Bombyx mori: one gene and its partners. The protein of the gene in region 3 purifies or fractionates together with the protein of the main gene of each other region. This does not show direct contact. Links are inferred from orthologs where the notes say so. Each region holds a gene or a part of one and is shown on either strand. Other genes may lie near its edges.

Evidence for each region.
Region 1: the proteins of beta-TrCP (region 3) and cullin-1 purify together in Drosophila melanogaster (affinity purification with western blotting; 4 studies listed by BioGRID, with this or other methods). This does not show direct contact. The link is inferred for Bombyx mori from reciprocal best matches to the Drosophila melanogaster genes slmb and Cul1.
Region 2: the proteins of beta-TrCP (region 3) and protein expanded purify together in Drosophila melanogaster (affinity purification with western blotting; 4 studies listed by BioGRID, with this or other methods). This does not show direct contact. The link is inferred for Bombyx mori from reciprocal best matches to the Drosophila melanogaster genes slmb and ex.

The regions. Positions count from the first base shown.
Region 1 is NC_085108.1:4,432,235-4,435,893, forward strand, and holds part of cullin-1, read right to left. Parts: intron 1,720-3,659; coding exon 1,601-1,719; intron 858-1,600; coding exon 737-857; intron 1-736. UniProt on the Drosophila melanogaster protein: Core component of multiple SCF (SKP1-CUL1-F-box protein) E3 ubiquitin-protein ligase complexes which mediate the ubiquitination of proteins involved in cell cycle progression, signal transduction and transcription.
Region 2 is NC_085118.1:7,049,251-7,052,909, reverse strand, and holds part of protein expanded, read right to left. Parts: intron 741-3,659; 5' UTR 712-740; coding exon 489-711; intron 1-488. UniProt on the Drosophila melanogaster protein: Activates the Hippo/SWH (Sav/Wts/Hpo) signaling pathway, a signaling pathway that plays a pivotal role in organ size control and tumor suppression by restricting proliferation and promoting apoptosis.
Region 3 is NC_085130.1:17,513,178-17,516,836, forward strand, and holds part of beta-TrCP, read right to left. Parts: intron 828-3,659; coding exon 711-827; intron 1-710.

The DNA of each region.
Region 1 (3,659 bases), on a different chromosome or scaffold from region 3:
GACCTAAAGTTTTCTATAAAATAAATTTAAAACAAACAAAAGGAATCCGTCCGACGGGGGACGCATCAAAGGAAAAACAAAATTGTTATTTTTATTAAATTCCGAGCATTTTCATATTTATCTACCTTTTAAGCCTTCTCTGGATTTCCATAATTCAAGACCAAAATTAGCCAAATCGGTCCAGCCGATCTCGAGTTTTAGCGAGACTGATGAACAGCAATTCATTTTTATATATTCCTAATAAGAAATGAATCATTTTCCTATGCAGTATTTTCATGTGGGTGTTCAAGTTTTTTGAGCATTCGACTTCAGCACTTTCATAATTGCAAGTATTTTTGGCATGTACCAGGGCGCCGTACTTCGAAGTGAAAACCTGGTTTTAAAACCTGGTAGCGTAAACGGGCCTCATTTTTTTTTGTTGCCTAGATGTGTGGAGGATCTCACAGTCCACCTGTAAGTAAGTGGTTACTGGAGCCCATAGACATTTACAACGTAAATGCGTCACCGCCTTGAGATATCAGTTCTAAGGTCTCAGTTACAACGGCTTCCCCACCCTTCAAACCGAAATAGGCGGGTGGTGGTACCTACCCGTGCGGAGTCACGAGATGTCCTACCACCAGCAAAACACAATTGAGGTAAATTGTGCCGTAGGTAAAGCCATCCGAAGTGTCTTAGGTCAGTGCCAGGTTTCGATCGTGCGACGCTCCTTCTCAATACACCTGGAGCGTAGGCTCACCTGTATGAGGAAGTCCCCTTTGATGCCGGTGTGCTGCTCCAGCTGGCGGACCGTCCACGAGGTGTTGTCGTTGTACTGCAGCAGCACCGCCATCTGGAACGTGCTCGCCTGCAGCGTGTACCTGGACGTTACAATAACCTGTATCCCAGCTTTCGGTCGCATAGGAGGCTAGCAAGCCCTGGACAGAACACCGGCCAGATGCGTCGTCGTGACCTAAAGGATAAGACGTCCGGTACATTCGTATCGAGCGATGCACCGGTGTTCGAATCCCGCAGGCGGGTACCAATTTTTCTAATGAAATATGCACTTAACAAATGTTCACGATTGACTTCCACGGTGAAGGAATAACATCGTGTAATAAAAATAAAAACCCGCAAAATTATAATTGGCGTAATTACTGGTGGTAGGACCTCTTGTGAGTCTGCGCGGGTAGGTACCACCGCCCCGCTTATTTCTGCCGTGAAGCAGTAATGCGTTTCGGTTTGAAGGGTGGGGCAGCCGTCGTAACTATACTTAAGACCTTAGAATTTGAATCTCAAGGTGGGTGGGGCATTTACGTTGTAGATGTCTATAGGCTCCAGTAACCACTTAACACCAGGTGTGCTGTGAACTCGTCTACCCGTCTAAGCAATAAATAAAAAATATATTATATTGAATAATATATTTTCGTGAAGCTTCGAGAGCTCACTAAAGGCAATGCTGAGTTCCACTCGCTTGAGAACCTGAAGTCAGCGGTTACTGTCTTTTTACTGGCCCCTTTTTTATAGGCAGACGAGAATACGTTCCACCTGATGGTGAATGATTACTGTCGCCCGTGGACGTCAGCAATGCCAGGAGCAGAGCCGTTGTCTGCTCGGGCGTTACCTGTTCTTGAAGCAGTTGGTGAGGAGTTCCCCCTTGCTCATGTTGTAGAGCCAGTTCAGCTTGCGCCCGGAGTGTTGCGACGAGTAGAACGTGGTGAACCGGTGCACGGAGCGCTCCAGCTGGAGAGATACAACCAAACCCAACATTACACATTTACACCTTTGAGAAGTCGAGGAAGATCGCCAATCAGGCGGACGGACATTGGCAAGGAGGCCACAAACACCAGCGTCCCGGGCGCCATTAAGCAGGCCGAGTGCAGGCAACATTGGAGGAAGCTGGTGCAAAAACTGGACCAAGGTGGTCACGACCCTCAGTAATGAGGAAGCGACGAAGAATAAGAAGAACGAATCTATTATTGTACTAGCTGTACTCGTCCGCTCCGCTGGACATTTAAAATTAACATATTTCTCACCCCCACAAAGATTCTCATCATTAACGCCCCCGCAACTGGTGTAAGGAGTCCAACACTCATATAAATATTAGCCTATCCATTAAGTACATGTATTTTCTACATGGATACCAAGTTTCAAGTCAATCGGATGCATGGTTCAGTAGTTATAACGGAACATCCGTAAAAACCACTGTAGATTTATATATTATTAGTATATATCACTGTGACTATTGTGCAGTGTGCTTAGTGCGAGTTTTTAACGTCCTCAATAGCGTAAAAGTTAACTCAAATTTGTATGTAGATGGAACAGCGCCCCTAGCGGCAAATGTAGGCAAACTAACTACCATTTCTGCCGCGATGTAATAACTCGTTCCGGTTCGAGTGGTAGGGCGACCGATGTACAGTATAATCGAGATTTAAATCTGTCGTCTCGAGGAGTTGTCTATGGGCTCGAGTAAAAAAATAGTTAAATTGCAATTTTGTTCACTAAATCGCTCAAGGATGTGAATACGACATTCGCGTTAGAGACAAAAGGACAACGTCACAATCTATACTAATATTATAGAGCTGAAGAGTTTGTTTGTTTGAACGCGCTAACCTCAGGAACTACTAGTCCAATTCGAAAAATATTTCAGTGTTAGATAGCCCATTTAAAGAGAAAGGCTATAGGTTATAACATATGAGTCGACTATTATCAAAGCCGGCAATGTGACTTTTGGACAATTATTGGTAAATCAGAAAAACGAATTATTGACTTTGTATTCCATTGGCAGTCACAAAACTCTTCTGAACGACATCTTAGATAAATAACAGGTTAAGTATTAACCTTTATTTAATGCAGGTTTTGAACCGTATTCTTTGAAGGAGACGATTATATTCAAATCAATCTGTATTGACATATCAATAACATTTTTTTTGTCCAAATGCACAGATTGCCACCTTTGATAATAGACGACTCATATATAACATCACGCGAGGACCAATACAAGCGGAGCATCAATAAAGAATGTTTTTTAAATATTTTCACTTTCTACGAAAACGAAGTGGGGGTAAAATTTAGCGTTATTCCAAAGTGACTGTTCCACGCGGACAGAGTCGCGGGCAAAAGCTAGTCTTGTTATAAAATGACTGATGGTCAAACGAGAGCGCTTAACCATTTAAAGCCAGTCGGGCTGTGAACTCATTCAGCTACTTAGAACAATAGAAATTGAAGACATCGCAGACAGGTTAATGTCTCTATGGGTGCATTCAATTTCGATAGAATCAGCTAGGACTAGTGATAGAAACGTCTTCAGGTTTGATCCCTGTGAGCTCATCTACTACGAGTAATTCTGTGAATCTAGCATAACCCCTCGAGATTACTAGATTAGGTTGGCGGTAGGACCTCTTGCGAATCCCCGCGGGTAGGTACCACCGCCCCGCCTATTTCTGTCGTGAAGCAGCAACGCGTTTCGGTTTGAAGGGCGGGGCAGCCGTTGTAACTTTACTGAGACCTTAGAATTTATATCTCAAGGTGGGTGGCGCATTTACGTTGTAGAGGTCTATGGGCTCCAGTAACCACTTAACACCAGTTGGGCTGTGAGATCGTCCACCCTTCTAAGCAATAAAATAAAAAATAAAAAAATGAGTAATATTGTGATTGGGGGGGGGAGTATTGAAGTGGTGACG
Region 2 (3,659 bases), on a different chromosome or scaffold from region 3:
TTCTGTTAAACGTATAATATTTAATAGTTATGTATTCCAGGAGGGTGGCAACATTTACCTTAGTTTAAATAAACATGGGCTCCGGTAGACATTTATCATCAGGTATCGTAAGGTAGTCTATACATAAAATAAAAAAAGATTTCACTCTCTGTACCTACAGCTGTAACATGTTTCATTAAATTTATGTGTTGCGAAATATATACGTGTTACTTTGTACATGAAAGGCGTATGCTCCGAAAGGCGTATGTTCAATGTTCACTAACTACCGATGTGACGTTGTGATTTGAATAAAAAGTATTTATGAAACATAGATTATAAAGCAGCGCTTGTTTGCATAGATAAGCAGAATGCTTTGCAAGGAATGCGTTACGCTGTGAATAAATAATGCGAAGTGTAAACTTTGTGAAATCGTGAGGTGAACATTTTACGTGTGTAAAGTTGCGTAAACATCAGTGAACATCAATAGAATAATCTTTAAAACTACTTACTTTGTAATACAGCTAATCCGAAAAAATCCGTATCGGTCATGCCTCGTAGCTGGACATGTCCGTTGACCAATGCTTTTAACTCTTTGACTCTTGATTTTGCTTCCACAACGAAGTGAAGAGGCTGTGCTTGACCGGGCATGCGGAGGGACAGAAACCGAGCACCCGCGCCTAGAGCGCGAGTGTCTCCGCCTAACGGCCCGCGAACCGAACACAGAGCGCGCATGTCGCATCTCGATGTTACTGTTACACCCTCTGAAATAATAAATATTACATTATTATTTTTAATTGTCTTACGGAACATTGTGTACAAATTCAGCACTTCGTCTTGTTTAGTCGTGCGCACAAGGCTTATGTCGCAAGCCAGATTTTGTTTCTTTTTACTTGTGTTTTTTATGTATCTTTTTTAGCTTGTGATGTCTATTGTGTGACTAATAAATAAATACAGAAAAAATTGGATAGAATAAGCAATGATACATCTCATAGAGAGTTGGTAGGGTAGTAAGATCCGTTACTAGTAAATTACTAGTAAACATTACAGAATCACTGGTGGTAGGACCTCTTGTGAGTCCGCACGGGTAGGTACCACCACCCCGCCTATTTCTGCCGTGAAGCAGTAATGCGTTTCGGTTTGAAGGGTGGGGCAGCCGTTGTAACTATACTGAGACCTTAGAACTTATATCTCAAGGTGGGTGGCGAATTTACATTGTAGATGTCTATGGGCTCCAGGAACCACTTAACACCAGGTGGGCTGTGAGCTCGTCCACCCATCTAAGCAATAAAAAAAAAAACATGTACCGAACAGGTAACAAAGTAAACTTCCTAAAATAAACGCAGAGTTAATCGGGAGAAAGTAAGGTTAAAATAATAATTTTAATTAAAGTTTTTTCTTTGGAACAGAACAAAACGAATAAACGAATCTTTAGGCGGTAAAGGCGTTTTTATTTACTTTTAGGCAATTTAACTTAAATATTGTATAAGATAAGGTAAATATATACGAAAAGTATAATCTGAAACAGGCTAAAAGAAAATAAATATCTTTTTAAAAGAAATATTTTCTTTCACAGTTGAATATTAATGTCTTAATATTTATTTCACACGTAAACCACAAATATCTAGGTATCTGTATAACAGGTATTATTTTGTTAAAAGTATAAGTGTACATAAGAAGTTTCCGTGAACAGCTTCCACTATGAACGAAATAATATAAAAAAAATGAGTAATTACTAATGGCTTATCGAGATTCCGCAAAGGTACCTAAGTACCGACCTTTCGCCTATTTCTGCCGCGAAGCAATCGTGCGGTAAGGGTGGATCAGTAATTAAATAATCGAGATTTCGTCCTGATTTGTTTTAAAGTGGATAGCGACATTTAGTTTGTTATGTATGCACATCAGAGATACCATAAGACCTACGGTAACAATTTTATACCAGGTGAACTCTGCCATACCTAGTGTGTCTATCTACAATAAAATCGTTAGTTTCTACGCATACCACGTAGACTTAATTTATAAAAAAGGATAGTAGATGCCATACAACTCGTTTAACCATGGGTGTATTTCAGATTTTACATCTAGCAATTATCACCCAAATAGAAGATAATAATCTTCTAGATGAGAACTTGAATTCCTGTATATATAACGGGACGATACGTCCCGATTGTGGCGGGACAGTCACGCTTTCGGGAATTCTGTCCTGCTGTCCCCAGCGAGGCAGACATAGTTCCGCTTTTGCAGAGAGACCAAACGATAAATTTATTTTTCAATTCAACATGGCACTAGGAGTGTTTAAATGGGCTAATTTAACAAAAGTGCCTTCGTGGGAAGAGGTACAGAAAGTACTTGATTTACTGAACACACAAGGGTTTATTATCAGAAGCCAAGATACGAGTTTTTGATGCAAAAATTACTGACTGGAATGCCGAGAATGTTTCTACTGAAAACCGTTGGGTCGAATTATTCCAGCACTTCCGTACCAACAATCTACATTTAACAAACTTTTCCACAATTATTGAGTAAGTTATTTGTCACCTGGAAGTAACGCACCGTTGAAAGAGTTTTTCTCAAATGAACAAAATATGGATAAGTGATTAAACGCAGTTAAGTGTTGCAGTAATGAAAGCTATTTTGATTACGAAAATAAATATGTATAAATAAATCGTATACAGTAAAAAAAGTTAGTAAAACAGAATTTGTCGTGACTATTAATTTATCATCGGCAAGGCATTGGAATGTTCAGAAATGCGCCATCTGTGGATTCCATTTTTTTACGATCTTGCCTTACTACCTGCATGCAGAGATCTGCAAAGAGCAGACCATAGAGTATAGAAATACACGAGACTCTGCAGTTTTATTAAATTGTTATAATATGCATTATTTCAATGGACTAAAGATGCGTTATTTTTCAGGAAGTTTCAAGCTGCATTTAAAATTAATGATATTTATTAGATTGCAGTAACCTAATCTAGGTAAAAGCTTTTTTTAAAACACTTTGAAGTTAAATTGTACAAAGTTATTTGATGTTGTGAGGCAATTGAATAGACTATTGTGAGACAATTGAAGTACTTTCTTAAACATAATTAAGGTATTCGTCTGAGAACATGAAAATAATCCACAATTATGTTTTATGTGTAAATTTTATAGCTGTTATATATTATTACAAAAAATGTTTGTTTTGTATGCTATGTGTAAGTCGACATGATTACAGTAAACAAACTTAAATTTGTATAAAATTTAATTAATGAACCTACCTAAATAAATATAGGTCAATAAGTTCTAAATATTTCTTGTTACATTATAATATGCGCACGTAGTTTTTACGACCATACTATTCGGAATCTCCAAATAGGTTAACGGTTAAACTGTTTTTATTTATTATTATTAAAAGGATGATAAGTTAGGATACCTGGACCGAAATATTTTATACAAAGATGCCGATTTCGATCGGATTGCGGAACCGTGATCAGAATATATTAAATTTAACATCAATGAACTCTTTGAAATAATTACATAGGTACCAAATAGAAAACATTACGGAATAAATTTGAAGAATTCGGTACTGGTATACGGTATGGAATAAATACGTCGCAGCAGTGTTATGCAATGTACTTATATAAGGATTTTCTTTTCACTTTTCTGACAAACTCTCATTCATAAAATTTATGTCCGCAGTGATT
Region 3 (3,659 bases):
AAAACGGGACACGTCTGGCAACTCTACGGGCGACCCTCGTGGCCTAAACGGTTCAGTAAGATAAGGCTCACCGGTGCGCACCGTGGTCTGAATGAAAATACTCGTTTTTTCATGTGGCGTACAACGTGTCAAAGGTAATCTCGTCAGCTTGTATCGAGGCACCGCATTACACTACCGACGCGCTATGATGGCCGTTTTGACGTTTTTTTTTTTATTATTGCATACATGGGTGGACGAGCTCACAGCCCACCTGGCGTTAAGTGGTTACTGGAGCCCATAGACATATACAACGTAAATGCGCCAGCCACCTTGAGATATAAGTTCTAAGGTCTCAAGTATGGTTACAGCGTACTATTACCACATACCTAACTCGGTATTTGCTTTTCGATATACAAAATTAAAAAAAAAGAAAATTTAAGAAGGTTAATAAATTAATTTAAATTTATTAATTAAAATAATTTAATAAGGATTTATAATTTGGTTTTATTAAGCCTTTTTAATCAGGTACTACTTGCAATAAAAACTTGTAGATTCCATTATATTTTTTTGCGAGAATAAATTGACATTTCACATCACTATTGTATTAAGTCAAAACGGCCATCATAGCATGCCGATAGTGTAAGCACTTTTTTTTATTGCCCTTGTAGGCAGACGAAGCACTTATCAGCTTCGATAACATTCCTTGTACTGATCTGAAGGGATGCGGTCACCTGATCTGTCTCGTTCCATCTTGTGAAGTAGTTGAGGCATGCGTCCCTTTCCGCCGCGTACGCAGGGCTGCTGGGCACCGGTCTGACGCCGCTGTCCAAACTTGTCAGTGACGTCACCTGGAAAACGATCGTGAAAGCGGTTGAGACAACCCTAGCACTCGGCGTATAGTGACGCGACTAAGTCAAGTTCTTCGAAAGACATTGTGTGCTTAGTCACTAGTTTTTTTTAATTTGAAAGTTCTGAACAGCTTCCCTTCGTTTGCCGCTAGGGGCGCTGTTCCAACTCCATACAAATTTGAGTTAACTTTTACGCGATCGAGAACGTTAAAAAACTCGCACTAAGCACAATACTAATATATGTTTTGAAGGTCGAGACAATGGTTGGAGATCGGAATTGAAACTTCGATCTCTTCTTTCGAAGTGAGCTGCTGAATTTACCGTTGCTATGAACGATGAATGGATGATGAGTTTACCACAAAGTACCCTTTATGGGACTCGCAATTCGTGCGCAAATTATTAAAACAAAATCATCATTGTAATCAATGCAATTGATCGGAATGCAGTGGATCGCGATTCAGATCCGGTGGTAGATTCAACGAAGCACTACTCTTGCTAGGGCTAGTGTTAACAAATTCTCTCAGGTTGAGCCCGTAAGCTCACCTACCGTAGCTAGAATAGTCCCTTAGGCTAGTGAATAGGTAGGGTTTTTTTTGACAGATTTTACTGATGTATAATTGTACTATATGTTTCTTAAACCGAGAGGGCTGGTGGTCGTGGCGCCGACGACCACCGGACCGGCGTCCCGAGGGGGAGGGTGATAGGAGAGATGTGCTCCGCACTAAACGCTTCACTTTCCCCCCTCTGCCTCTTCATGAGTTCTGTCTCATGCGAGGTTTGGACGTTGGTTGTTGAGCGACAGGAGGTTTTAGTCAGTTCGACTCAGACATGCCCCGCCCTCCATCCCCAGTGGAGGGCGGAAGTCCGGCGATTTCCTCCTGACAAAAAAAAAAAAATATGTTTCTTAAATAATAAACTTTAAAGTAAATTTTTTGTTTACACTATTCATAGGGGAAGGCGATATCTGCTGTGTTCGTATAAATAACTAGCCATACTCGCTCGCTTCGCTGGGCATTTAAAACTAACATTATTATTTATTGTCATTATTATTAGGGAGTACAACTCTCATATAAATATCAGCCTATCCATTAAGTACATGTATTTTCTACATGGATACCAAGTTTCAAGTCAATCGGATGCACGGTTCAGTAGTTATAACGGAACATCCGTAAAAACCACTGTAGATTTATATATTAGTATAGATTTCCCAAACCTTCATAGCTGTAGGGGAGAGAGAGGGGGGGGGGGGGTGATACGGGTGGCTTCAGAGAACCCAGAATAAGCCCCAATATGAATGAAAACTATATTGATATGCACATAATTTAGGATCGTCGGGAAGTAAATTTATTCATTTCCATTGGCATACATTCAATATTGGATCATTAAGGTTAGATGATTTTATTTATTAAAAATTTGACTGACTAGCTGGCAAAGATTATATTAAAATCTATTCCTATCGACATCCCATTTAAAAAATTCTCCTATAACGAGGTCAACTCTTATAACGCGATGTCATGTCCTCAGCAAAAAACCCGCGTTTTTTCATATGACGCGGCGATTTTTTGCTTGTTGAAATATTTCATACAAATTTTCATTAATTTAATTCTGTCAATGAGATCAAACGGGGGCATTATGAGAGAGAGAGAGAGATAATACACTTTATTGCACACCAACACAATTTACATTCAAAAAAACAGTCAAAAAGCACATATGTACAATAGGCGGTCTTATCGCTAAAAGCGATCTCTTCCAGACAACCCTTTAATTTACAGAAATACTGTAAAATATAAAAATAAATTTTGCTCCTATAACGCGGAACCAACCCACCGCGTTGTAAAAGGCATTAATGAAAATGCAAGACATTATCTTTAGTGTATAATACAATGAACAGAAGAGTTCTCTCTTCTCTCTCTAACTTTCAAAGCTTCCGAGGAAACATCACAAAAAATTCCTTCAAAGCAACTTCATATCTGTGACGTCATATGGGGGCAAAAACAAAAATAGATCATACACTCACACACAATAGTTAACCAGCCACATACGGCATCATGATTGCGATTAATATAAGATTAAAAAAAAACTTCTTTAACTTAGCTTAAAAACTAGGAATTTATTACTATTTTTTAGATAATTATGTTGGGTGATTTTTTTTTTGTTGCCTTTATAGGCAGACGAGCTTACGGCCAACTTGATGGTGAGTGGTTACCGTCGCCCATGGACTTCAGCAATGCCAGGGGCAGAGCTAAGCCACTGCCTACTGATAAATGACCTATATGTTCGAAGGATCTAAGCTCGTATTTATCTATCACAAATCTAACCCTTTTCGAGCAAGGGAATTAGTTTTACCAAAGTTATACCTTTCGCCACTACTACGAGACGACTTCTCGATCGCAAGGCACGTGTGCTCTCTCGGCCGAGATGCGATCGAGTTTCCGCATGCAAATGCGTGCCGGCCTCGCGTTAAGCAGAGGTCAAGCGTTTAGACAGGCAACGACTGAGTGAGACATTTCGATCTAATATACATTATCGCTCACCAATCGATCGAGTATCAAGTTAGACGAGAACTTTTTTCTCGATAGCGTAAAAGTTAACACGAATTTGTATGGAGTTGGAACAGCGCCCCTAGCGGGAAACGTAGGCAAACGTTCCAACTCCATACAAATTCGTGTTAACTTTTACGCTATCGAGAACGTTAAAAAATTCGAATTAAGAACACAAAAGATTTTACTGTGGGGTAGTAGTTTATAATAACAGCGATCTCTCAGATTGATGTTGAACTTAGATTGGGTAATGGTACGAAACTTATAATGATAAAGCTTTTTATGAAAAATA